2 linked regions of the Drosophila melanogaster genome follow. The protein of the gene in region 1 purifies or fractionates together with the protein of each later gene. This does not show direct contact. Each region holds a gene or a part of one and is shown in the gene's direction. Other genes may lie near its edges.

Region 1 (12,644 bases):
CTGTAGGGAATGGGGATAATGGAAGCAGGGATGTGGGACCGGTGGACGAAGGGGCAGGCGGAAGGCTTCAGGTTTAAGTACAATAACAATTAGCATTCGTACGGTTGGAGCCGGAGTCCATTCATTTGTCAGTTAGCACCTTCCGCATTCGCACACCAATCTGCGCTTCTCCCTCTCCCTCTCACTCACTCTCTCTCTCTCTTTCTCTTGTGTGATAGTCCCGTCCTTCTCTCTGTTATGACAGCTGGAGTCTTTGTTTGGTGCCTGTAAATTGCCGCCTTCACAGAGAAAAACTATAAAAATCTTTAGCATAAACAACATACTGAAATGTAATTATTTTAGAATATACATTGTATGAAGCCAAATGCCAAAGTCTTAAATATAACTTCCGTGGAATCGTTACACATTTCCAACGATTCTGCACCCTTTCAACAATTACATAGAAGAATATCAAATTATAAAATCATAAAATTATAAAAGATCGCCTTTTAAATGATTTTTAAATAAAGTTTAATAAAATTAATGTATTTTTCCTGTACATTTTTCACATTCTCCGCTCTCAGTGGCTTGTGATTAAACTTCAACTTATTTGGTGCTCCCGAAGAAACCGGTCGGGGTGTCTTGGCCAAGACCAAGAGCTGCTGCCGTCTTTTTCTTGATGCCAAGGCCCCCAATCCCCTAACCCCTCATTCCCCACCCCATTCCCGTTGGCTAAGCGAATGAATTATGTTATTTGAAATTAGTTTGTGCCTGGCTTTCAAAACTCCTCCAAGTCCAGCTACACATGCACACATACACGACTCCAATCCCACAATCTGAGCGCTGGCAGCGCCTGCGGAGTAATCAGGTTAATTTTAATATGTTTTGTATGCACCGACCCCTTCGAGTCCCCGCCGCAATCCTATAGCTTCATGGGCATGACGACGCCGTCGCCGGTTAATGGAAAAATATCTCAAATGATGCTGGCCAGGATGCCTTTTGTAATTAGCAGCCATTTCAACGAGAGCCATCCAACAAAGCTAAAAAGTTGGCGCGCTCTTAATTACTCTCCCCTCTCTGTCATTGCATCTTTCATCTCTGTCTCTGGCCGCAAAATCTATCTATATATGCTATTTAATCTTATTTCTGAGGATAAATACATATATAAATATCACCAGAAGTTATTAATGCTTAATAAAGAATATTTAAATGGGATAGTAATATTTTTGTTTCTGCAAAAGAATGGATTTAGGGTATCTCTGATCCGGTGTCGGGGGCGATCCTTTAGCTCCAAGTCTTTATGGCTTGTCTAGGCGATAATTTTAATGTTGTTTGGTTTATACACGTTCGAGTATTTCACTTCATTTTTCTTGCACCGCCGAGCGGTGCTGACAAGTTTCGGAACGTTGCTGAAAATCTGGACACAGTTTGCCCCTCGGCACTACGACCATATATTTGACGCAGTCGGGGACGGGAGATTTGCATTTAATTACGGGCGGTCTGCGGAAGAGGGGGAGGGGCAATAGAGTACGCCCGAAAGCCAAGTTTAGATCAAGCCAAGACGCTGGTCCGCGTGTGTGTTCCAAGGCAAACGGACTGGCAAATGATAATTACAGAAAGCATGTAAGCGCCTGAGAGAGAAAGAGAGAGGGGGGCTTACCAGAAAGGGATGGGGAGAGGCGAGCGAAAGAGAGAGGTAGACGGACAATGTGCTAGAAAACGTTAATTTCAAATTTATGTAGAGCGTCTAGTTTCTGGCCCGTCTAAGCTGATGACTTTGAGTTACCACCACGCTCCGGCAGCAACCTCCTTTTCTACACAGCAAATATATCCTTAATATCATATATCATTATATCTATAAAGGTGTATAAAAGTATATTTTCCTATAATATCAGAGTGCTATTCAATTTCTAATTTGCTAAAAGCATTTATACGTGCCTGTTATTTAGAAGTCAACTATAATGGACAGTAGTGTTTTTTAGAGTAGAAGGTAGCATTCAATTTTTTCATGTGCATACGACCCCCCCGGCCCCCTTTAAACCCCTTTTGGGGCATCTCGTCCTGCTGGGGAAGAAGTTTCCCAAGATGCCCGCAGGGCGCGTGCTGAATTTAATCAGTTTGCCGGCCAGACCGACGAGCTGCAATGACAATCAAGCCAAGATGGAAAGTGGGCAGTGGCCCCACTGCATCCGCATCCGCATCCTCGGCCGCAGTGCCACCCCACCCACTGCCCACCGCCCACTTTTCGCCACCCATTTCCCTCACGGGTGAAGTAAATTAGACGACAAGTCGACAGTGCAACATTTAACGGTAATATGCTTTATAGCTGCCGGTAAAATGCAGCACCAAATTAGACGGGAAAGACAAAGACGGGGCGAGGGAGTGAGAGAGAGAGAGAGAGAGTCAGGGTCGAAGCGAGCGGGGTCCGAGTGAAAATTCTGAAAATTAAGTTGATGAGGAGATGTGGACCAGGCCTAGACACCGGGTAACAAAACAGTGAAGTGCCCGTCGAAGTGGAAGCATCAAGCGGCACTTAAATATTGACCAAAATTGGCTACTAAAAACAAAATCAGCCAGCAAAACATTTTTAAGATGTGCGAATTGGGAATACTCTTCGGGAATATAGCTACCACTAATTGAGTTTATATGTAATGTAATAAGCATTAGTATTACATCAGAAACCAGCATAGCTATACGTTTAAAATTGGTAAAAAAAAGAGGGTATTCTCCAGTTAAATGTATGACTGATCTCGTTCGGATCGAGTTGATCTTCGTACTCTACCCTTTTGATCATGAGCATGATATTCGCATCGGAATCTGGGCAATCGCCGAACAGCCGAACAGGCCTAAGTGCATACCCTAGCAAATCACATTAGGAGGGGCAACAACAAAATCATCAAATGGCGTAGGCAGTTGCAGTCAGATTCTGCTTTTGGGGGAGGCTGGCCGGGACTTTGGGGCCTTGGGGGGTTTTCAAGGGGCTTTCAGCCAGACGACGACTCTACGACTACGACGTCATCGACACCTCCGATAGTCGTCGAAGCGGGTGGGTGGCTAGACTGGTGGACAGACGGCGACGGAATCGGCAGGGGCAGCCCGTTTGGCAGCCTCGACTGACCGACAGCCTCGACCGGTTGTAGACCGCACCGGTCGGTCGCTGCTGCATCTTCTGCCCCCTGGAGGGGTGGGAAGGGGGGCGGACTGCGGCGGGGGCTTGTCTAGTGACTTGACTGTAACCTCATTGACCAGAAAAATGCAAGCGGCAACGGCAACAAGCGCAGACAACAAAACATCAAATGTGAATTAGTGCAAAGGTAGCCAAGGAGCAAGGATACACCTAAAAAATTTATGATTGTTAGTGTTGATAAAAAGAAAATATATGTACACGTAATTATTACAGTGTATTATATGGAGAATAAAAGGTATAGTAACCTACGTGCAATCAATAATATCAGTAGTATCCAATTTATAAATTAATAAAATAAAAATAAAATATATTAGTTACTAATTTAACTAATGTGAAAATTTAAAATTTAATTTTATGAAATTAATGTTTTTGTAATTTGGATCTAATTATCACGTTCTTTTTATGTTACCCAAAGTGAGAACCGCCTTTCTTATAAATTGAATTGAAATTTGGTAAAGTTTTTGCCAGTGGAGATGAAAGAGTGCCGAAGAAGGAGCAGAAGACGTGGCAGAGAGGGATGGCAGAGAATTGGGTGGAAGAGTGGGAGGAAGAGTGGGCAGAACAAGGCAAAACGTTTCCATATTTATTGGCACTTTTCGGTTTTCTGGAAGCGGTTCGAGCCGTTGCAAAAGGGGCGGAGGGGTGTGGTTCACTAGACCCGGCACACGTCACATTGTGGGTGGGTGGGAGTTGGAGGACGGTGGACGGAGGGCTGGAGTGGTAGCAAGAGGGTTCTGGGCTTCGAGTGGGGTTTTGACCGACGAGCTGAGTGACTGGAGCTTTTGGCATTGGCTCTGCTCTGCGGATCGAGACCTAAATTATTAATTCCCAGCAATAGTTGTCGAGGGGTCGAGCTGGGGTGAAATTTCGGGGCATTTGACAAGTCGTCTTGTGATGCATATCACAGGTTTGGTTTATCCAACAATTTCCTCTGAAGCTTAAAATAAATTCTAAGTTGTTGTGTGTTGAGAGAGGTTGTGGCATTTATTAAGAAAATCATAATTAAGTTTCTAAATTGGTACGATAAAATGAAAAATAAAAATAAATTTTATTGATTTTTAAATTGCGGTGACTTCCTACTTTTCCATTATAATTAAGCATTGTTAATTTGTACAAGTGGATTTAAAATTATGTCAAACAGTTTAAAGATTTTGAATATTATTTTGCAAATCTCCAAAGATATGTATGTAGAATCTAAATGCGCTCCCACCGTTCGGTGTAAAAAGTGCAATGTTTAGCTGTAATAAATGCTCAAAATGCGCTCACAAAAGCGCTCACCCACACTCGCGCCCTCTCCCTCGCGCGACCGCTCTCCTTCTCTTTCTATCTCTGCCTCGCCGTCGTTAAGTGCTCGCCTTTCGTCAAGTGTGCAACTTCTCCTTCTCAGAACAACAGTTATAAGCTCAGTCTGCGCCGGCAGCGCTGTCGACGTCGACTGCAGCAGCAGCGCCGCTCATTTGTGCGCTTAATGACGTCATTATTTTTATTTTAACAGTGCCAAGCAAATTGCATATATACCGTTGCTGCTCCTGCGCAGTCGGCGCTCTGCCGGCGTCGCTGCACCGCCAGTGGGGCTTGGGCTAGGGGGTGGGCGAGAGAGCGACAGAGAGAGAGCCAGAGCGAGAGAGAACGAGAGGCAGTGAGTGAGAGAGACCCCGGTCGCTTTCTCGCTCGCACCCGCTGAGCTGGGCCTGCGGCTTCGGGTTCCTCGCCTTCGTTTTGTTTGCTCGTGTTTGCCGATGTTGTTGCTGCTGTTGTTGCTGCTGCTCCTTTGCTGTTGCTACTTATGCTGATGATTGCGATTGCTGGGGGTCCAAAGCGCCGCTCGTGCGCCACACGTTCATTCAGTCGACGGACGACGCTGCGCCTGAACGTACGACGGCTGATCTGAACCGGAATCGCATTGAACGGCCACATATATCTTGGACGCCCCTCGACTCGTGCAACAAACAAACAACCAAAGTGCAACATACAATACCCAAGCAAATAAACTTCGGCGTGTGCCCACGATTCATCTTTAACAGCTGCCACTGCAACTTTTGAGCCCCATGTGTTTTGTACAGCCGTTGCTCCGCGATTTTTGAATCCGTTTCGAAACTACTCAGTTCCGAATTTTTGGCGCGTTGCGATCGTCTCATCTGAAGTGCGTGGGTGATAACCATCTGTCAGATACTCGTTGCTACACTCATAGGTACTCATGAATACTTTGAATACAGTGCTCAATTGTGATAAGAGTTAAGAAATTACACATCAAAACCAAACGACCATTAAAAGGTGAATGAAAAACAGGATTCAGGAAAAGCTAGTGGAACATAAAAACTCTTTCGTTGATTTTGGCAACAGCTTGCGAATCTGTAAATAACGGTAAATATCTCAAAGTACTTGATTTAAGCTCTTGTGAATTTATATTATATGTTTTGAAGAAGTATATCATGCAATTGACTATCATCAGTTTAAAATCTTTTATGGGAACCAAATTTTAGAGGTATTAAAGTAATTATAAATGGTCTTCCCAATAGTCTGAAACAGTTTTTTTCACATATATATATATTCACATGTATATAATTGATTTACTAAAATTAATTGTAATATCATAATAAAAGTAATTTTAAAACTTTTATATATATTTCTGATTTGATAAAATTTCCATACGCCAAATTTTTACGTGTGTCAGTGGTTGGACATTTTAGCGGATGAATTTCGGAAATATTTAAATAAATCTCAAAATTTCCGGCTTATTACAAAGCTTAAAAAATCTGCATGGCTGAACGTTATGGCAGCTACTCAACCCAAAATGGTAAGCTAAATAATGGGGCTGCAATAAAAAAAGACATTTAAGTGAAGTGCTCATCATCATTATCAAGTTAGAAATATCAAACCTTTTTAGCCTCTCACGCACTCCACTCACTCGAATATTGCTCGAAACAGCCAAATGCAGTTTTTATGTAAATCTCAACCCTGACATGGTAGTATGCAAAAACCAATAAATTGATGCGATTTCGCTGCAGGCGGTTAATAACTTTAATTAACGTTAATTTTATCAACATCAGCATTATCGTTGGACCGGCATGAGCATGGGGGCATGTGCATGAGCAAACTTGGCGAGGGTCTCAAAAATAGTTGCGACGTTCTAATAATAAAACCAAATATAATAAATAGCCACAAACAAACTAATAATACGGCTCGACGGCAGTGGACAGTGGCAATTTGCAACAATGAGGCTCATCAAACGATCGCTAAAACGAAATCAGAATGAAACTCTACACATAAATAGTTTAATGTGCTGAGCCTTGCGACTGCTGCCACCCCACGAAAAATTACTAAAACGTATTACAATTGACTTGCCGGTGGCTCAGTGTCATTTTTGCAAAAAATAATCTAAACGTATCTATGAGATACAATAAACAGCAGCAGCGGCGCACAATTCGCACTAACAACAGCGCCAGCGGGCGTAACAACAATTGTAATAATCAGTTTCATTTCAAAGCCGCACCAACCTGCGCTACATTTTTCCCACTGTCCAAGCTCTGCTTGGATTCCCCTCCCCTCAGCTCCACTTTGGATCCCTGCTGCCGCCGCCGTTTCCACCGATTCAACCGATCCCAGCGATCCCGCAGATCCCACCGCCCTTCCCTCATCGGCATCCGAGTAGAAAACGTATCTATGCAGTGCATTGTTAGCGTGGCCCGCTCATTTAATTAAATATAATTAGCTGCATTAATTGCAAATTAATACAGAATTTAGCCTCTTTGTTGCCTGCTCCATTGTCGTTGCCAAGCAGAGTTAGCTATTGCCATTGCCCTGCTCCCAACTACACATTACACACGCCTCGTTATCGTTGGCAATTATTTAGCGAGAATTAACTGGGCTCGCAGTTGCACTGGCCCCCACAGATGCATTGGCCAAACTCTGGAATGACATTCAGCGGGTGCATACTGTGGCCCAATGAGCTGGTATTTATCTTTAAGGTTTCCACGTACTTGAGCGCAGGTTTCAATGCACAAATTACATTAGATATCTTCACGCATGATTTTGAAGATCTTGTAAAGTTCATATCATACATTTTTCCATTATGCACTGTATTGTTTGTTGAAATTTGGTTTATTAAGTAACTTATGTTACATAAATTGATAGCTTCAAATCCCTATCGAATTATGCAACAACCAACTCTGACTTTTATAATAAAGTAAAGTACTGTTGCAGTTAAATGGTTTCTATAAACATTTCGGTTCTTTAATTATAAACAAATCTTCAAGTATTAAAGCTAAGACCAGTGTTTAGAAATCGTGATATCTATGAGTTAAATGCAAGTGCTCAGAAAAAGCCGTCGGCATTTTATAGGCTGCGATCCGACAAATGCCTTTGATTCCACTTCAAATTGTAATCTTCTACTTACGATGAATGTTAGTTACTTAATATTTACGATTTCGGCTTCCTTTGATTGCGAAAGTGAAATATCTCATTAAATTGACTGAAGGATTTTTACTATTCGAAGTGGCAGTCTCGGCAAATTAGAAAAACCCATTAGTGGCCAAATGCATCGCGACAGCTTTTAATGCACATATAGCTGTGAAAAAGAAAATCAACGACGACGGAAAATGATTAGATATTAAATTAAAAATTAAATGTTGCTGCAGTGGATGTTTCTTTTTTATGACAAACGGATGACGAACGCATAAAAATGCAGCGGCACCAGAAGCGGGAAAACAACAAACCGACTGCGGACAAATCAACAAGGAGGCGACCACCACACACCACACACACTCATTAAAAACAACCAAAAGCCAGCGGAGAATTGCAATTTCCCCCGTAACCCCGCAAACAAAAAAAAAAAAACAAAAACTAGAAAAGATACACATATCCAACCATCGCGTCACGTTGTCACTTTACGTAGGCAAATCGTAAAAATGAATGAAAGAAAATCCGCAAAGCAAAACGCTTAATTATGTGCCGTGCATTTTGGACAGCTGCCGCGGCCACGCCTCCGGTGGGCGGCCTTTTAATTAAGCATAATTAAAGTAATAATTATGCCCCGCAAAGGCATTGAAGTTGGCCAAATGAGGCGAGTTCGGGGCGGGCCGGGCATCTTGAAAGGATTTCACTTCTGTTTTTGATGTGTGGCCAATTTGCAAACTTGCGCACACATAAAATGAGATTTTATTGCCCTAAAACAGGCAGGGTGGCAAAAATGCAGGAAGTGCGTTTCTCCGACTGCCATTGCAATCGAAAATGCATTGCACAACCGACCATAATTGTAGATTTTGTATTTGTATATGTTCACACATGAACACGAATATATTTAAAGACTTACAATTTTGGGCTCCGTTCATATCTTATGTAAATGAATCGAGAGCGATAAATTATATTTAGGATTTTGTTATCTAAGGCGACATGGGTGCATTGCTCAAAAACATGTAATTTAAGTGCACACTACATGAGTCAGTCACTTGAGATCGTTCCCCGCCTCCTAAAATAGTCCCTTAGTGGGAGACCACAGATAAGGTCCTCGCCGCTCAAGATAGGCAGATGTGCCCGAGCGTGGGACCTCGATAAGGCGGGGACTATTTACTTAGGCCTCTGCGTAGGCCATTTACTTTAAGATGCGATTCTCATGTCACCTATTTAAACCGAAGATATTTCCAAATAAAATCAGTTTCTTACAAAAACTCAACGAGTAAAGTCTTCTTATTTGGGATTTTACAGTATATAACGCATGACTATTTATGAAAGTATTTTGTATGTTATGCTATCGATTTAAGTACATTAGAATTTTCATTTAGATACTAGTAGATCTTCTTCAGTTTCATAAATACTATTGTTATTATTATTATTATCATTGCTTTTGATTATTATCATTGTTTGCACTAAATATGTGGGACAAAGATCGCATTCCCGAGTGCCGCGTGCTTACACTATCCCCAATTATTTCGCTTAACATCGCTTCTCTGAGCGATTCCATTTGGAGACGATCTGGCGAGGATTGGCTCACTTTTCGCCGACCCACCAAAATAAGATGTTGCATGCCGCGCATGCCACAGAGCCTACACAAAAGCGAAAGACACGCACACACGCCGCTCATTTAATAATGAACAATAATGAAGAGTAATAATAATCATCAGCAAAACGTGCAGGAGAGTGTCCAAGTGGCTCCGTACTTATATGAGCACATTTCTCGTATAGACCCTCGTATATGGAGGCAACGAAATTTTATCAACGAACGCGCATCATTTCAATTAAGAAAATGTCACAAGTGTCCAAGCAGCAACTGCGCCAGCAGCCTAAAACACGCCAAATGCGGCAAGTCGGGGGATCTCCGCACTTTCATTTCGCCATTTCGGAGTCCCTCAAATCCCCTCCCGTCACCAACAGAAATCGTCTATATAGTCGAATGGCCCCGCTTAATGGCTTATTTTTTGGAGCATTTCTTGTAATTAATGCGAATTGTCACACGCTAGAACTGAAGTAATGTCAACTGCCTTCGATTCGCCTTCTAATTCATTACATTTATCGTTTGTTGCCCGTTTCCTATTCTTAATTAGCAATTAAACAATTTATGCTTTTGCGTGAACAATGAGGAGCTAAGTGAAACAGGCCGAATTTTCGTAGTCCGAAAACATGAAACACTATAATTAATTCTATTCCATAAGCTATTTTGCTCAATTAGCCATTAAAAACACTACTTTACCGCATTGCCATTGCGTGTATCGCAGTATGGAAATGGAATGCCGAGGAACTAAACTCGGAAATTCGGGGTTGTTCTGCGGATTCAATCATGCTTGATGGATGGATTGTCAAAGATGCCAGATAAACGATAGCTGTAATGCGACTCTGTCGTGTTTGGGTAATTATGCCGATAGACAAATTCGAGTTTCGAGTCGAAGCATAATTGATTCTAAGGGCTAGAAAAATAATATTATTCCAATTCTAGCGTTTTCTTGCTTATCAATTGGAGTTAGTTTCTTTTGATTTCCTTTGAATATCCTAAGATACATTAACATCTTGTTCATTGTTTTTTTTTTTATCCCAACCTATGGATAATATTAAAATTGAGCCCTATTGTAGTTTCAGATAGATTTATCACCAAGCATGGCACAGTCAACCACTCATTCCTCTTTGCAGATCAGGAATTTCGGTCTAAGTTTCAGCTAATTTAATGTTTCGTTTCAGTGTTTTTCGTTAACTTATTGTTAATTAAATGCAATTAAAAAATTTCTTTCCAACTGTCCGTCCGCACGGCCCTCTGGGCATTTGAGCAGTCAGATCGCACTTAATGAGACGCGACACAGTTGCACAGATGTTCCACAAAACGAGATAATTGCGCAATTAGCTCGACGGAGTGAGGAGTGCGGCGAGGCAGGGTGACGAGGGAAGGGGCATGCCACATGTTGCACGGAGCCGCTGTAAATTTGTTGTATTAAGTGTAGAAAATCTCGAGCACTTAATTCACGCTTTGTTGAAGGTGTTGAAAGGCGGTCGACTGAATCCTGAATCCCGCATCCAGAAACGTAAATCCAGATTCCAGATTCCGGGGGGCCACCCAAGAACCTGGGGGTGTACTTACCAGCTAAGTTAAACCAAATGCGAAACCGCAAAAAAGGAACTCCCATACGAACCCACGTAATGTGTGTGCCGGGTCCTTTTTGTGCTCCGTTGCCATTTGTATTTTTTTGCTCATTTGACTTTGGCCGGGCTAAACAAGCTGCTTATCCTTCGGCCAGGACCCGGACGAAAAGAAAAATGTTAATTACCCTTTGTGTTTGAACAGACCCCGCTCACACATTCCCAGAGCTCGGTTGTGCTGCATCCTTGTCCGAGGGTCACCGCCGACCTTTGTGTTATTTGAGGCAATTAAAATTATTATTTTAATGTCAACACTTTTTTTTGTAGCGCTTTTGGTTTCTGGCCAGGATAATGCATGTAAAACGACTAACGCCCCCTCAGAAAATCCGTTAAATGTTTCCCAAGATTTGCCGGAGTTTGGGTTACGTCTCCATTTGCCGTCGGCACTTGGCAGCGACTTTTCGAAACTTTGTTCTGGCTTTCGTTCTGTTAGCTTGTGGCACTCTTTTTTTGTTCTCTGAATTTCGGATTGGGGGTCTGGTCTGAGCTGCCTGGTCTGCTTCATGGGGTGGATTTTACGCCCCAGCCCTGGTTTACCAGGCGTTGAGGAATTCCGTATAAGTGTTTTTACGGTATTTGTTGGCTCAAGCATTTTACGGGGGGGTTAGGTCAGTGCCCGCACCATTTCTTCACCATCGCCACGGCCAGTGCTCCACACCAACCCCAAATCAGTACACTGCCTTCCCGTTTAGCCTCGTTTTGAGAAATGTTTTCGGTTGCCTTCAGGCTTGTGGCTTTTCTCTTCGGGGGGTTTTGTGGGGTTCTGGGTTCTTTGCCGCCCGGGTGGCATTCGAGATAAGCAGGTGTTATATTTTTATGGCTAAAGTGGCTAAGCAGTCTGCGGAGAGCAGATGGCAAGGAATCATGTTCTGGCGTTGGTGTTGGCAGACGGAGTGTAATAAGGCCCAGGGCGAAAGGTTTTTCTTGCAACGGACGGTTGGTTTAGTTTCTAATGAGATGTTTGATTGGAGTGCAAAGGGAACATTATGTTGCAGCGGATATGATTGCTAGATCTACATATTGGTTGATGCAACTAAATAATTTGAAAAGATAATATAAGCGAAAATATGCCAAGCATTGATTTGGTTATATATTTCTTTTGATTAGATGTATATTCATTCTAACTTTTTGAAACATACTGATGAATGCGACACCATCTTTATCATGGATTCCTGAAAATTTTTTAAATAATTTCGTTATTTAGTTTGTCCCCTTTTTCCCTCACCTATAACGTAGCCATAACCTATTTTTATCCGTATTAGTGCCGAAACACCCCTCCACGCCGCTCAAAGCAACCACAAGCAGTTAGCTTGGTTAGCCAGAGCAGCTGTTTTGGGGTCGTGCCCCCTTGTGACCCACCACACTCCGCCTGTGGTGACCCCGGCCCGATTAACTACGTAAACAGCAGCAGCAGCAGCAGAAGTAGCCGCCTTAATTGTTTCGCACTTAATCAAAACGAGCAGCGGACTGGCCCAAACCGAGACTATCAAAGGCAGCTCCCCGGTCGTCGGTTTGGGCCAAAGGCAGCACAAAAGCCAAGCCAGCTACCGAGCTGAAAGGCAAAAAATTGAAAACTAAAGAGCAACTTGGGGCGCACGCCGGTCTCCAGTCACCAGTCCTGAAAAAGGGACGGACAGACGGACGTGGGACAACCTACAACCTACAACCTACAAACGACAACCGACAGCCGACAACGACGACATCAACACCCGGGCGCTGTGAAAAGAAAAACGTTTTATGAGCTCATTCACAAAAAGGGCCAAAACACACACACAGGCACACCCATACAGTCGCACATAGAAAAAGGAAGTTTTCTGAGGATGGCGACAGAAGCAACCTGTTGAGTCCCTTCATCCAT
Region 2 (12,644 bases), on another chromosome or scaffold:
ATAGCTTTTCGTTTCGAATATATCATCATGTTCATGTATGTTAATATAAATTAGTTAAGTTCCGCATGTATATATATATATATATATATATATATATATATCTGTGGGTGTATATATATAATTTGTAAATATCAAATACATAATCATTAGACATATTGAAGTCATAATTGATAAGCGCAATACTAATTTCGAACCGAATCTGCTCGGCGCGTCACACAAGCCAATCAATACATGTAAATACGTATGAGTAGAGCAACAATAGTCTGCGAGTTTTTGGATGAAATTCGTAACATCTTGATATTGCTGATCAATCAATGGATAATATCAAACTGTCCATAACGTTTAGCCGTTCGTGTTTCACTTCCGCTTGTTATTTACATTAATAATTACAAATTAAATGGAATTCCACGACATGGTCTGGCATAAATAATAATAAACTGGCCAAGCTGGCCTAATACAATTAAAATGTTTAAATTATATACAACAAAAACAAAGCAACAAGAAACTATTGAGAATGGATTTGTTCGGCGTAACAACCTAAGCTCCACATTGGCCAACCAATATAACATATCATCTACAAGCTAAATATGAATATTGTATATTACATGCATTACACAATTCTCGGCAAAGAAAAATAATTCGTCCTAAAACTAATTAGGGGATAATTAATCAACTATTGCAGAAAATCAAAATAGGCTTAGAATAGTAAATAACAAAATATAAGCGGTTCGAAACAAAACACAAACCCTCTAGAACAGAACGCATAAAATGGAAAAATATATCTTCATAGCCGCGATGTCCACGACATCAGTTAGGAAATTGAGCACAGCTTCTTCAGCTCTCCCTCGGTCTCGTCCACCTCGAGTGGCACACTGGCGGTATTGGGCAGCGTCCGTCCCTCGATGTTCGGTAGGTAAGGCTCGTAGTCCAGGCCCTTGCGTTCGTAGAACAGCAGATATGCAGCACTTGGATCGATGACCGGCTTCTGGGATATTTCGCGGCAGGAGCTGTCGTTATAGCAGTACCAGGAACCAGTTGCATTCGAAGCATAGGAAATGTAGTGACCTCCGTTCAGCATGCCCGAGTGAGACTACAAAACAAGATATAAGGTTATCACACAATCAGGAGGATTAAAGGCATAGGCTACACCCACCACAACAGCATAGAGTCGGTATCTGGGATCGAACTGATCCACATCTGGTTTAAGTCGGTGTTGGTGATAGTCTTCGAACTCGCCATCAACGATAGGCGTTTTTGTGAGACTCGTAGAGATGAGGCGTTGTCGCCGGACAGCATTTTTGGTCTTGCTCTGGCGCAGAATATTCCCTGTGGGCGGTGGCGACGCCGTAGCCTTTGTGGACCCCGTTTGATTGGGTAGTTCTTCCTTAACCTCCTTACTGGGTGCATCAATCTCGTCCAATTCGCTAACAACTTCGTTAGTTGCCATCGTCATTTCTGCATCATTCTTTAGCTCCAGCAGCTCCTTGTGCCGCAGTATCGTCTCCTGAGGGACTGAGGCCAGATACGGAGTAGGATCGAAGTCATCGAAAGGAAAGTGGACCACTTTCTGTGACTTCACCCATTTGCCGTTGACGCAGTTAAACCGCTTCAAGTGAACAATCTGAGGAATAGAAATTATCAATAAAATTTCACTAGGCAATTGGCCATTAGGCCTGGCTTACCAATATCGGAGGTAGCTTCCAGATCTGGAGCTTCTTGGTGGCGGGTTTTTTGCCCTTGCAATGACTGCAGTGATACCACTGCTCCAGTTTCTCCTCCGAGGTGAAGGCGCGCAGGCAATGATTCAGGTCTACGGGCTCCACTTGCTCCCGCCGACTTATGGCAATGGTCTCGTGATCCACCCACAGCTAAACAATTACAAATATAAGTATCCCGTGGACAAAATAATGCCGAGTCTACATACACGCTCCAAGGTGCTTTGGTAGCGCAAGTGCAGGGCGGTCGGATCCCAGTCGATGGCAATGGTGAAGTCTTCAAAGTATTTGGTTGTCGGTGTGTACGACAAGGAGGCGGTATATTCCGGCGTCCGTTTAGCCTCCAGATTTGGTAGCGATGGGAATTTAGCATTCATTTTTGGCGTTGATGTATTACCTGAAAGTGAAAGTAGAATGTTTATTTCTAGCAACGGCAAGCGGATTTTAAGGTCTCTACGCACTGGCGGCGGCATTGATGGGCGGCAGGGCTCCCTGGAGTACATAATCATTGTTGCATCGAATCTCGCATCCGCGACAGAAGCTTGACCAAGGGCAAATAGCGCAGGTTAGACCATCTGCCTTGACGGCACGCAACGTGAAGGGGAAATCGTAGCCCAGGCTGTCATCACTGCGTATATACACAAGATCAGTAAACAAAAGCAGCAAGCAAGTGGAAATACTCACCAATCGGCGGCATGATTCGCCTGTTCCGTGGTGGCAGGCAATGGGCTGAGTAGCCTGCTCACCTGCAGCCACACGGCGCAGTAAAGATCCTTGTGGGTGCCACCCTCGCTGTTTGGAATGAGCAGCGGAACGCCAAAGAGACTTGGTCTCGTCTTGTGGTAGGACAGGAAGTAGCTGTCATGCCGCGTTATCTTTCGATGTACGGCTACCAAATACTTGCCCGCCTTGTGCGGCGGCTGGGAGGAGCGACGAGAGTAGACCCCGCTACTGGTCTCCGGCTGCGAGGTTGTGATCTGATCCGGCTGATCGTGATCCTCCGCGTTGCCCTCTTCCGCCTGCTCGTCCACGTCCAAACTGGCGCCCAGGGTGTGGCCCGTGCTGAGGCCACTGGAATCGTTTGGCGACGTCCGGTAGGAGCAGTCCTCGCCGCCACTGCCATTACGGCTGCTAACCGGCTCCAGGTCCGCCAATGGAATGGGTTCGGTCAGCGAGCTCTCCATGGAATTTTCGCCGGAATGATTCGTGTAGGACATGGAGCTGGTATTACTCTCCGTGTGCAGCAGCTTGGCGGACGATACGCGCTTCTGTTGGGCGGCAGCGCCGTGCATAAATGTGTTCTCCGGGCTGGAGCTCAGAATTAGCGACTCCTGCACCGAGAGTTGGTATTAGACTTAAGTTGTGCTGATACGGGGTTAGTTATTAAAGGGACTAGGTGGGTGTAGTCGTGAATTGAAGCTTTGGGAGCTATATTAACCATGGAACAATCTACTTTCAAATTTACAAAATAGCTATAGGGTAAACGCTAAAACTCTAAAACAACTTTAAAATGTATAAATTGTTTATGGCACGTGTTTTAATTAACTTGTTGGTTCTTTTTAGTTGTTTAGTGAGGGCGGTGGAGTGTAAAACAGTAGCTATTTAATTAAATTGTTTTAGGTTTCATACAAGTCTCGAAAGATAACCTGTTTTTTTTTTACTCAAATTTTAAATATAACGGAAAATTACATCAAAGACATTTAAGATATGGGAATTGAAAATAGTTTTAAGATTAAATTGACGAAAATTTTAAAATCTTCGAAGAAATTTTATAATTTGAATACATAAAGATAGATCTTTTTATCCAAAAATACATTAAAATACATCTAACAAACAAGCTAAGACAATGTATTTCTTTTCGGATACTCAAAACTTTCTAAAAACGAACACAATATATGGATATATGGCATCGCAAAGCTATGAGAGTGACCAAAAACTACTAGAAAAATAATATTTCACAAGCTTCCAACTTGAAAACCAGCAACAACAAAGAGATTTCCAAGGATAGCCGAGAGGTGATACGCAGTGTTTGATTGGGTTTAAGCAAATAATTTACATTAGTTATAGAATAAGGCCAGCAACAAAGTAAGTGATTAGTAGAAGGAAGGATGTATATATTACAAATAATTGATATCAATTTGGTAAAAGTGTGCGAATACGAAAGTAGGGAGAATATACAGAGTATGCTAGTACATTTGAGTAAATAAGAGGGAAGCCCACAAACCACGCAGCAAACGGCAACTGTTCATTTAACATAGTGTATTTAATATATTTAGATTAAACGCTTGTAAAGTGACAATCGAGAAGCAGACGGAGGCGGATTCTTGGCGGATCTCGCATTCGCAATCAAAGACGACCCGACGATATATCATACGAGAGTAGCAGCAGTTTCGCCGCTGAGGAGCAAGCTCGCTATCCTAGGCAAGGAAAGTTCTGAAGCTCTGAATTTTAGAATTCGATATGGCCCCAAATAGATGGGGCGTAAATCTATGATATTAAATACGTATATGTTAATATAGTTTAGAAGCCATACCTTGAAGCAAAATAGGCTGTGGGGCATGCACTCTCTCTTTCCAAAGCACCGGCTTACCTTTCCGGCCTCATCTGGCAGCAGTTCGTGCACCTGGTTGTCCCCGCTTCCGTTTCCGCTGTAAGTGCTTACAATAGGATTGTAATTGCTGTTGCTGTTACATTGCGACACATCCGTGCCCACCTCCGCCTCGCCTTCGACATCCAGGCCCGAAACGTGTCCGTTGCACAGGACTCGTGACGAGGCGCGGTGGCTGGACGTCTGCAAAGTGCTCAGCGAGGACAGCGAGTCCTGGGCGCTCGTGATGAGAGCTGAAAGTTCAAAAGTGTAGAAACACATTCATCTGCTATATCATTGGGTGGCTTACCGGAACTGCGCTGTATGTCCTTAAGACCCTGCTCGATGTGCATGCTAAGCCCTGAGTTGGATCGTGTTCGCATACTTTGTTCCGGCAGCTGATAGACGTACAGCTCCTTGGCACTCTGCGTCCGCAGTTTCTCGTCGTCGTTTAGCACCTGGCGTATTTGTGAGTTCCATAGCTCGCAGACGAGCATTAGATTTGGAGGCAGGGAGCACATGGTGGACAACTTGTGTTTCAGGTGCGAGTACTTGCAATCGGAGTTCAGACGAAAACCATATTTGATTGGAACGCTTCCATCCAACAGAATAACTACAAAAAAGAAAAGTATTAATAAGTACAATAATAAACATAGAAGTATTGGGTTCAACTACGATTTACTCACCCAAGACCTCAAAGTAGATATAATTCTCTACCGGAAGCGGCAAACTGAGCAGACTAAACGGATCGAATCGCACCGATTCGTGTCCACAACCCAGACAGCTGACCTTGGATTTCAACTGGCCGTAGAACAGATCAATGATAATTGACTGGTTTCGGGCGTGGTGCTGGGACCAGGCCTCGGCGGCCACTATTTTGTCTGGGCGCCCATTCGAGTCCTTCAGCTCGCTGTACGGTTTCTCCATCACACGGTTAAGGTCCTCATGCAGAGCGTCCAACAGCCACTCGAGCAGCTCCTGGGAATCGTGCTGACCTCCACCGGCGAACTGCGGCGCATACTTGTTGACACAAAAGCGTAGCTTCAGCGGGGCCACAGATCTAGTCGTGGCCGTCCAAACCTCCTTGAGCAGCTCCGCATAGCGCATGGCTAGCTGACCCTTTGTGCCCAGTTTGTTGGCCGCGTTCACCTCGAAGCGATGCATCTCACGCTGAAAGTATTGTGCCAGTGGTTGGGTATTAAACAGCACCTGGAGAGCGGCGTTCATGAAGCAGGTGTTGCCCAGGTTGTGCAGGCCTGTAGCTCCGGGCGCATGTACCGACATAATTGAACTGCGTGTTAAGCGACGCCGGTCCCCCGGTGTTCCCGCACCCTGGCCACATTGAGCGGTGGCCAAGGAGCCAAGTTCCTCCGGCCAGGTCAAATCTTTGTTGCGGATTTCCAGCAACAGCTGGTCGTTGTCCCGAATGAGCAACTCTTTCAGGCACATGGCATCCTCTTCTAGCAATATGGCACCGTTGTCCAGCTGTGGAACGTGCCATAGCCGGATATCTTCTGACTTAAGACGCAGTTGCTCGCACAAAAACTCGCCCACCTGACGCACCGTGGCCAGTCGGCTGAAGGCAGCCGTGTAGGCCAAGTATCGCTTCGGCGGTTGGAGTACACTGCTTACAGCGATGGCGGCATATCCGCCACCGGAGGCAAGCACTCCGTAGCCACCGCTCACCGTGGAGCCCCAACTACCAAGTTGAGTGCCTCCGCCTACGCCTGTCTGGGATGGCTGCGCCTGGTGGAGCAGGATTCGCAGGTTCAGCGGGTATAGCTCCAGTTCCACATCGGAGTTGGGCGGTTGGATGACCTGGAGGAATACAAATTAAGTTCATAAGTAAACGTTTCTGATTATTAAATAGTTTTCTTTGCTTACCTGTCGTGGCAGTGGAAGATTATCGCCATACCATCGATTCAATGCCTTCCACAGTGACTTGGGCACCAGTTCAAAGTCGTGGTTCTGCACCAGGGGTGTGTCCCGCTTGAGGTGACCACCCTCGCCGGTGAGAGTTCGAACATTCCGGAACGGATTGGCGGTGATCAGATTGCTGTTGTCAATAGGCCCTGGTCGCACGGGTCCGCAATGTCGTCCAGCTGAGATGCCACTACTCGCCGACCCGGAACCGGAAGCCGATCCCGTGCCAGAACCCAGGGAGTAGCTATCGTGCTGTTCCAAGCTGTGGGTGTTAAAGCTCTCATCGCAGACGAGCGCCTCATCAACAGCGGTCCGCTGGCTGGCGGTTCGCTTGCAATAGTCGCAGGTGTGCGTCGTGTGCTGAGTGTATTGCATCCAACTGAGCCACCAGTCATGCGTGATCAAGTACCAAAACTGTCCAACGCGGTACGGCCTGCGCTCCTCCCGTCGCAACCATCCCCGGACGATATCGTTCTCCATGTGCTTGCACTGGGGCCACAGGCCAAAGACGATGTGGCACAGCTCGAAGATGAGGTCCAGCAAGGGCTGCATGAGTCTTAGATCACACTGTACGGTCCACAGCATAAAATCCTCAGCGGTCAGCGAGACATTGTCTCGGGTTAGCTTACTAGGCGTTCCATCCGGACTTCTTCTCTGTCCAAACTCCAGAAGATCACTTATCACCAGCTGTTTGGTCAGATCCTTGTATTGCTGGGACTCCTGATTTTCCTTGGCTACTAATAGCAGAACATTGATCATCTGCAGTGTTTCATCGTGGCTAAGAACGCCATCTCGATCCACATCGAAGATTTTGAAGCAAACTGTGGGTAGGCGTTTGTTACTCAATTGATCATAGCGGAATGATAAAAGTATTTAGTACTTACATCGTGTCCTTTCCACACCCGGTCCTCGGCAGGCGGCACTTACTCCGCAACACAGCTCCTTAAAGTCGATGTGTCCGTCGCGGTTCTCATCAAAGGCGTTGAATAGACCTGCTAGAGCATTCTTTGGTATGGGTGGACTGATCAGGGGTCCCAGGAACTGCAAGTCGATTTGGCCATTTTGGGAAGTGTTTTTCAAACGCCAAAACTCCTTTTCCAAATCGCCAATGTCCTGCAAAAGAATTGAACGGGGTTTCAGTATGAACTAGTCAAACGTAAGAACGCAAATGAGAGGCGATTGAGGTAAATTGAGTGGCGGATAACAAAACAGTTGAGGAACCAAGCGAAAATTATTTATAAATTGCATTTTCCACGAAATGATTCGCTCGCATATGTTTACAAAGCTCTATCAGCCTCAGCTGCAGATGCTCACCTTCTCCTCAAGATGCGTCACTCCAGCGAGGCTCTGGTAAAACGTTGGCGTCTCCAGCTCCGATGTGAGGCTAACACAGTTGTCGGACAGAAGCCATTTGGAGAGGACAGTGGCATTGCGATGCTTTATGATCCAGTCCTGGAACTGCTCGAAATTGACGCGTTCGCTTTGAGCGAATAGGGAGACGCTCTCGAAGGGAGCCAGATTGACGTTGCGCACATAGTCCGACTTGATGATGAAGGTGCCGGCATCGTTGCAGTACAGGTTCCACAGGAATCTAAAACGAAAGTAAGTAGTTGGGTTACCTAAAATCAATTCAGCCTTGCACATTATGGCACACTCACTTGGTTTTCTCCGCTTGGGTACCACGAGTTATCAAGACCAGACCGCAGAGCAGGTCGTTAAAGGAGATGCCACGCTGGGTGCCACCACAGGCGGCATATAACATGTCCACGATCTTTGGCGGCACTCCCTCGCACAGCACATCCTGCTGAAAGGCATTCCGACTGAGGAAGTTCCTGCCCACGCCCGCTGACTTTTTGAAGGCATCTCTCAGGCGGCGAAGCTCTACGTCGCTTACTGGAATAAAAAATCGGTGAATGAGTAATGCTGCGTTAGGGATTATCCCATGTGCCTTTAATTAATAGCCGGTATGCCGGGTAACCCCCTCATTTGATGCGATTTACGACCTCGATTTCACACTAACCGACGTGCTGTCAATAACAAACTGATTATTGGGAACACATGTTCCAGTATGGAAACCCAATTCAAATACATTCGCTCTAATTGTTTAATAATATACATTATAATAATATCAATAAACATTATTTCCGAGCTCATTTACCAATTCCATTACATATGGTATTAGATTCGTTGTTACCTAATTAACCATTATCAGTAATTGATTTTTCACTAATTACCTGAAGTGCAAAAAGGTTACCCACAAACCAATAGAAGGTAACATGAATATTATGTTCTTTAACGATAATTATTAATTATATTAATTATATTTTAGGACTGTTTTCATATGATCAACAAATAAAAAAAATTTAACTAATATTTCTTGCCCTAAAACGATAAATTATATATAAGTTAAAAAATGAAGAGGGTATCCCGAAGTCCGCCACACAAAGTTAATTTTATTTGTTTAATAATTGTGAATCATTTCCCGTGGAATCAAAGCAGCATAACATACGACAGTTTAAAATCGTTTAGCACTTAAGTCAGAAAATGATAAGAAACGAAACAAAATGTTCTTGTTAATATCGTTGCGCATTCTCAATAGTATGCTAATTCATGTTACTTCATCTTAAATGTACTACATGTTCCCTATTTAACCATTTTCATTCATGCCCCGTTCATAACGTTATAATTCATAACGTTGATTATTTAATGTCGGAAATAAAAGGCCACAAGAAGCGCAATTAAATTGACAATAAATAAACCATTTTAATTTCAACGATCAGGTTGAGAACCCAGAGCCAACTGATAACCGCCAAACCGGGCGTGAAAATACATTCCCAAGTTGATTGGGCAATATTGCAGGCGAATTATGCGACGTCACGGAAACGGCATTTTATTGAATGTTAACTGCAACTCGAGTCTGCGATTATTGACCACCGCGCACATACTTGCATGCTAGTCCTCACTTCCCCCTTGGTTTTACTGGAACCGGTTGGAGTGGCTAATAAGAAACACACGCACCCGGTCGCACGCCCCACACCAGTGATGGTGGGTGGTGGAGGGGTGGTCCGGAGTGCTGGTGTTCCGGGGGAGTGAGCCTTATCAGCGACACTCGTTTTCTTAACTCTGGCTGGGCCGCCTGGCCACAAATCAGCAACCATAACCATAACAACACCAGCATTTAGATGATTGCCAGCGCAAAGGGAAGGCGGAATAAAGTAAGTGAAAAGCACTAAGGGAAGCTAAACGTCATTGAAAGTGGGCCGAAAATGGGTATACAAGTTGGCTTAAATAATCTTAACTCTTCTGAATGATTACCAATTTTATTGCTGGTTCATTATTATAAAATATTTGGAGAAGAGTGAACATTCCGATTTTCATACTTTGTAAATAAATTTCTATTTTTTTGGCTTATCAGCTTGTTTTAAACACAGTAATTCCTTTTCCTATCTGAACATATTCCACTTAAAGAGGAATTTTAAGAAATAAGGAAATGACATGCAGAATTAAAAGCCCAATGAATTATTTATTTTAAAACATTTTTCTTATGGATATTCCAATTGGAAAATCGAAATCCAAAATGCTCCCCTTTCATTATAATTTCATTTCATTATAAACAAAAAAATTTTAAAGTAGGCTTCTTTATAAAATACTTCAACAGAAGACCTTTGCCCATAGAGTGCGAATTGAAATGAACACTGGAATGACATGCTGAACTTGAAATGAATCGTATTCGCAGCGACATCCGCATCCGCGCATTCCAGTCACCCTAAGCGTGAACTGCACTCCACTGGCTGTCTAACTGTTTCTCATGTGCCTTCGCTGCTTTGTTGTCTCTCACCCACACAGCGCACACCTCCAACTGCCACCCCATTCGGTTAGCTTTTCTATTGTGACGTCATTGGCGGCGGAGACGCAAATACCCATGCACATGAAAACACATGCAATAAAGAAGCCACACTGGAATGGCAGTAGATAATTGCAAGAGATAGGATTAAGAGGAGCATGAGGATGGTGGTGGCGGAAGTCAGTGGTGATTCCCGTTGGTCAGAAGACGTGGGCGCAACAACACAATGGAATCGATTGCACCTGCTTGTACGTTGTTGTTGCTTTCGCAGGGGGTTCTGTTTTCTTGATTGGCAGTGACCTATTTTCTGCGGCTGGGAGACGGCCCCACAAGTAACCAGCCGGAGGAGACTCACCGCGTTTCACCGAATCCTCGTAGCTGACGCTATTGGAGTGCTTGGACTCCTTGGTGCCCATGGTCCAGAATTTCTTGTTTGCGGGGGTGCAACTCAATGGATTCTGGGGCTCCGCCTGCTGCTGCGTCTGGCGACGCCACTTTTCACATTTGTTCAACTTCACTTCACAGTCGCGGGCGGAACAATAGGCTGCTGGCGAGGATCAGGTGCAGGATCACGACGATATATGTGTATGAATATATAATATACACCTGTCTTTTTGACTCTTGTCTTGTGCTATTTTCCTCTGTTTCTTTCTATATTCGCGCACTTTCCAACACTAACTGGAAACAGCTGTTTTCCCCATCGTACGATAAGCTATCGATAGACGACGGCGCGCCAGTGTTGCGCAGCAACGAATTATCGAAACTCATATTTTTTGTACGGGCGTAATTAGAAAGCAGTAATTAACTTCATTTCCACGTAATTTTCACAACAAACCAACGTAGACTCGCACCGCGTAGCGAGCGCCTTTGCATTTGCCCACCGGAAAAGCCGCCGCACGAAATCCGAAACTCGGGCACAGACAACAAAAAGGTCTTAAATCTACGTCGCCATTTTTGACACGGCTCCGAAATCGAAAACACAACACACACACCCAAGAGAAAAAGAGCTGCGCTGCGGAGAGAAGGAAAAAACTATACGTTTTCGATTCGAGTCGATTCAATTAGATTGTGGATTAGTGCGGTTACGTCTGGGTATAGTGTATATGTACATACATACGCTAAACGGCACGCATGGGGCATAATCGTGATTAGTGTTATTAGCCAAGAATCGGAGAGGAAGTCAGTCAGTTGATTAAGGAGACGACGACGTGTACAGAGCATCATCACCCTTAACCCGTACCCTAACCCCCAGCTAAGCACTATTATCGGGCCAGATACTGTGATCCTACCGCAAAAGCACACAAAATGGCCAAAACCTACGACTATCTGTTCAAACTGCTCCTGATCGGTGACTCCGGAGTGGGCAAGACCTGCATCCTCTTCCGATTCTCTGAGGACGCCTTCAACACAACGTTTATATCCACAATAGGTGAGTGTCATCATCCGCGTTTACCGTGTCTTCCGATTCTTAATTTTTTTTTTTTTTTGGTTATTAATTATAACACCTTCGTTCGCATGAACTCATTCGCAATTGGAAATCCGAGCTTCTGGCCCAGTGACTCATTAAATGCCTCTTTTCTTTTTTATTTCCTGCCCCATCCGGGCGCATTTGTCATAAATATTGTTGTTTCCATGGGAGGGGCACTCCCACCATGTTTGATTTCTCGCGCTTATTAAGATTTTCCCGTAAGGAATATATCCGGATGCCTTATCTCGCCCTGAGATTCACACCCGCATAGGAAAGCGATCAGAAATGAGTACTCAGTCCGAGTACCCATAGTCTTTGTACTTTCGCTGCTCTTATCGCCCCAGAAGCCGGATTGTTCCGATGCGAGACTTGACCGTCGCACGCCAAATCGGGAATGCCCTATTATATACCCAGCAGGCCCATGCCCAGTCTCAGAGGGAATTCAAGTAGTTGTTCCCGTACGAGTACAGTGAAGCCTTTCTACCAAACACAGCAAATACTTTTTAATAAATTCGAATCATAATCAGTACAACTTCAAGTGGCAGTTAAATCAGATTATGCTAGTAATTTTAAGCTTATTAAAATAATAATCACAATAATATTCGACATGCACACTGTACTTTCCCGTACTTGTAAACACAAAAGTAGAGCGATTCCCATTTCTGCTCGTGGCTAATAATTGTTTATTTTCGTTTTTGGCACGTTTTCATCGCGACACTTCCAATTTTGGGGCATTTACTTAACGACATTGTTTAAATTAATTGCGTGGTTTGTGGATTTCGGTTCTCTTCGTCTCTTATTTTAGCTGCGATGTCATGGGTTCCGACCAAACAGGTTTAGCCTCTTGCCAAATTATTTAAATTAATTAGCAAACGTACATGTGTGTATATGCTCATCTGTTTTCTCTTTTCAGGTATCGATTTTAAAATTAGAACAATTGAATTAGATAACAAGAAGATTAAGCTGCAGATATGGTAAGTACTAGGCGATTCATCTGTATTCTCTAATTACCTATATCTCCATTCATTTTCCAGGGACACTGCCGGCCAGGAGCGTTTTCGCACAATCACCACGGCCTATTACAGAGGTGCCATGGGCATCATGCTG

The links.
Region 2: the proteins of pdm3 (region 1) and Rab8 purify together in Drosophila melanogaster (affinity purification with mass spectrometry, with the first as the bait; one large-scale study listed by BioGRID). This does not show direct contact.

Annotation. Positions count from the first base shown.
Region 1 is NT_033778.4:8,322,478-8,335,121, forward strand, and holds the start of pdm3 (pou domain motif 3), read left to right. Parts: upstream 1-5,012; 5' UTR 5,013-5,530; intron 5,531-12,644.
Region 2 is NT_037436.4:19,869,235-19,881,878, reverse strand, and holds the start of Rab8 (Rab8), read left to right. Parts: upstream 1-10,800; 5' UTR 10,801-11,374; coding exon 11,375-11,498; intron 11,499-12,320; exon of another isoform or gene 12,321-12,352; coding exon of another isoform or gene 12,353-12,371; intron 12,372-12,450; coding exon 12,451-12,511; intron 12,512-12,571; coding exon 12,572-12,644. Other genes in the region: Usp32 (ubiquitin specific protease 32), read right to left, coding at 812-1,090, 1,154-1,621, 1,683-1,868, 1,925-2,112, 2,177-2,343, 2,400-3,046, 4,249-4,556, 4,613-4,915 and 6 more.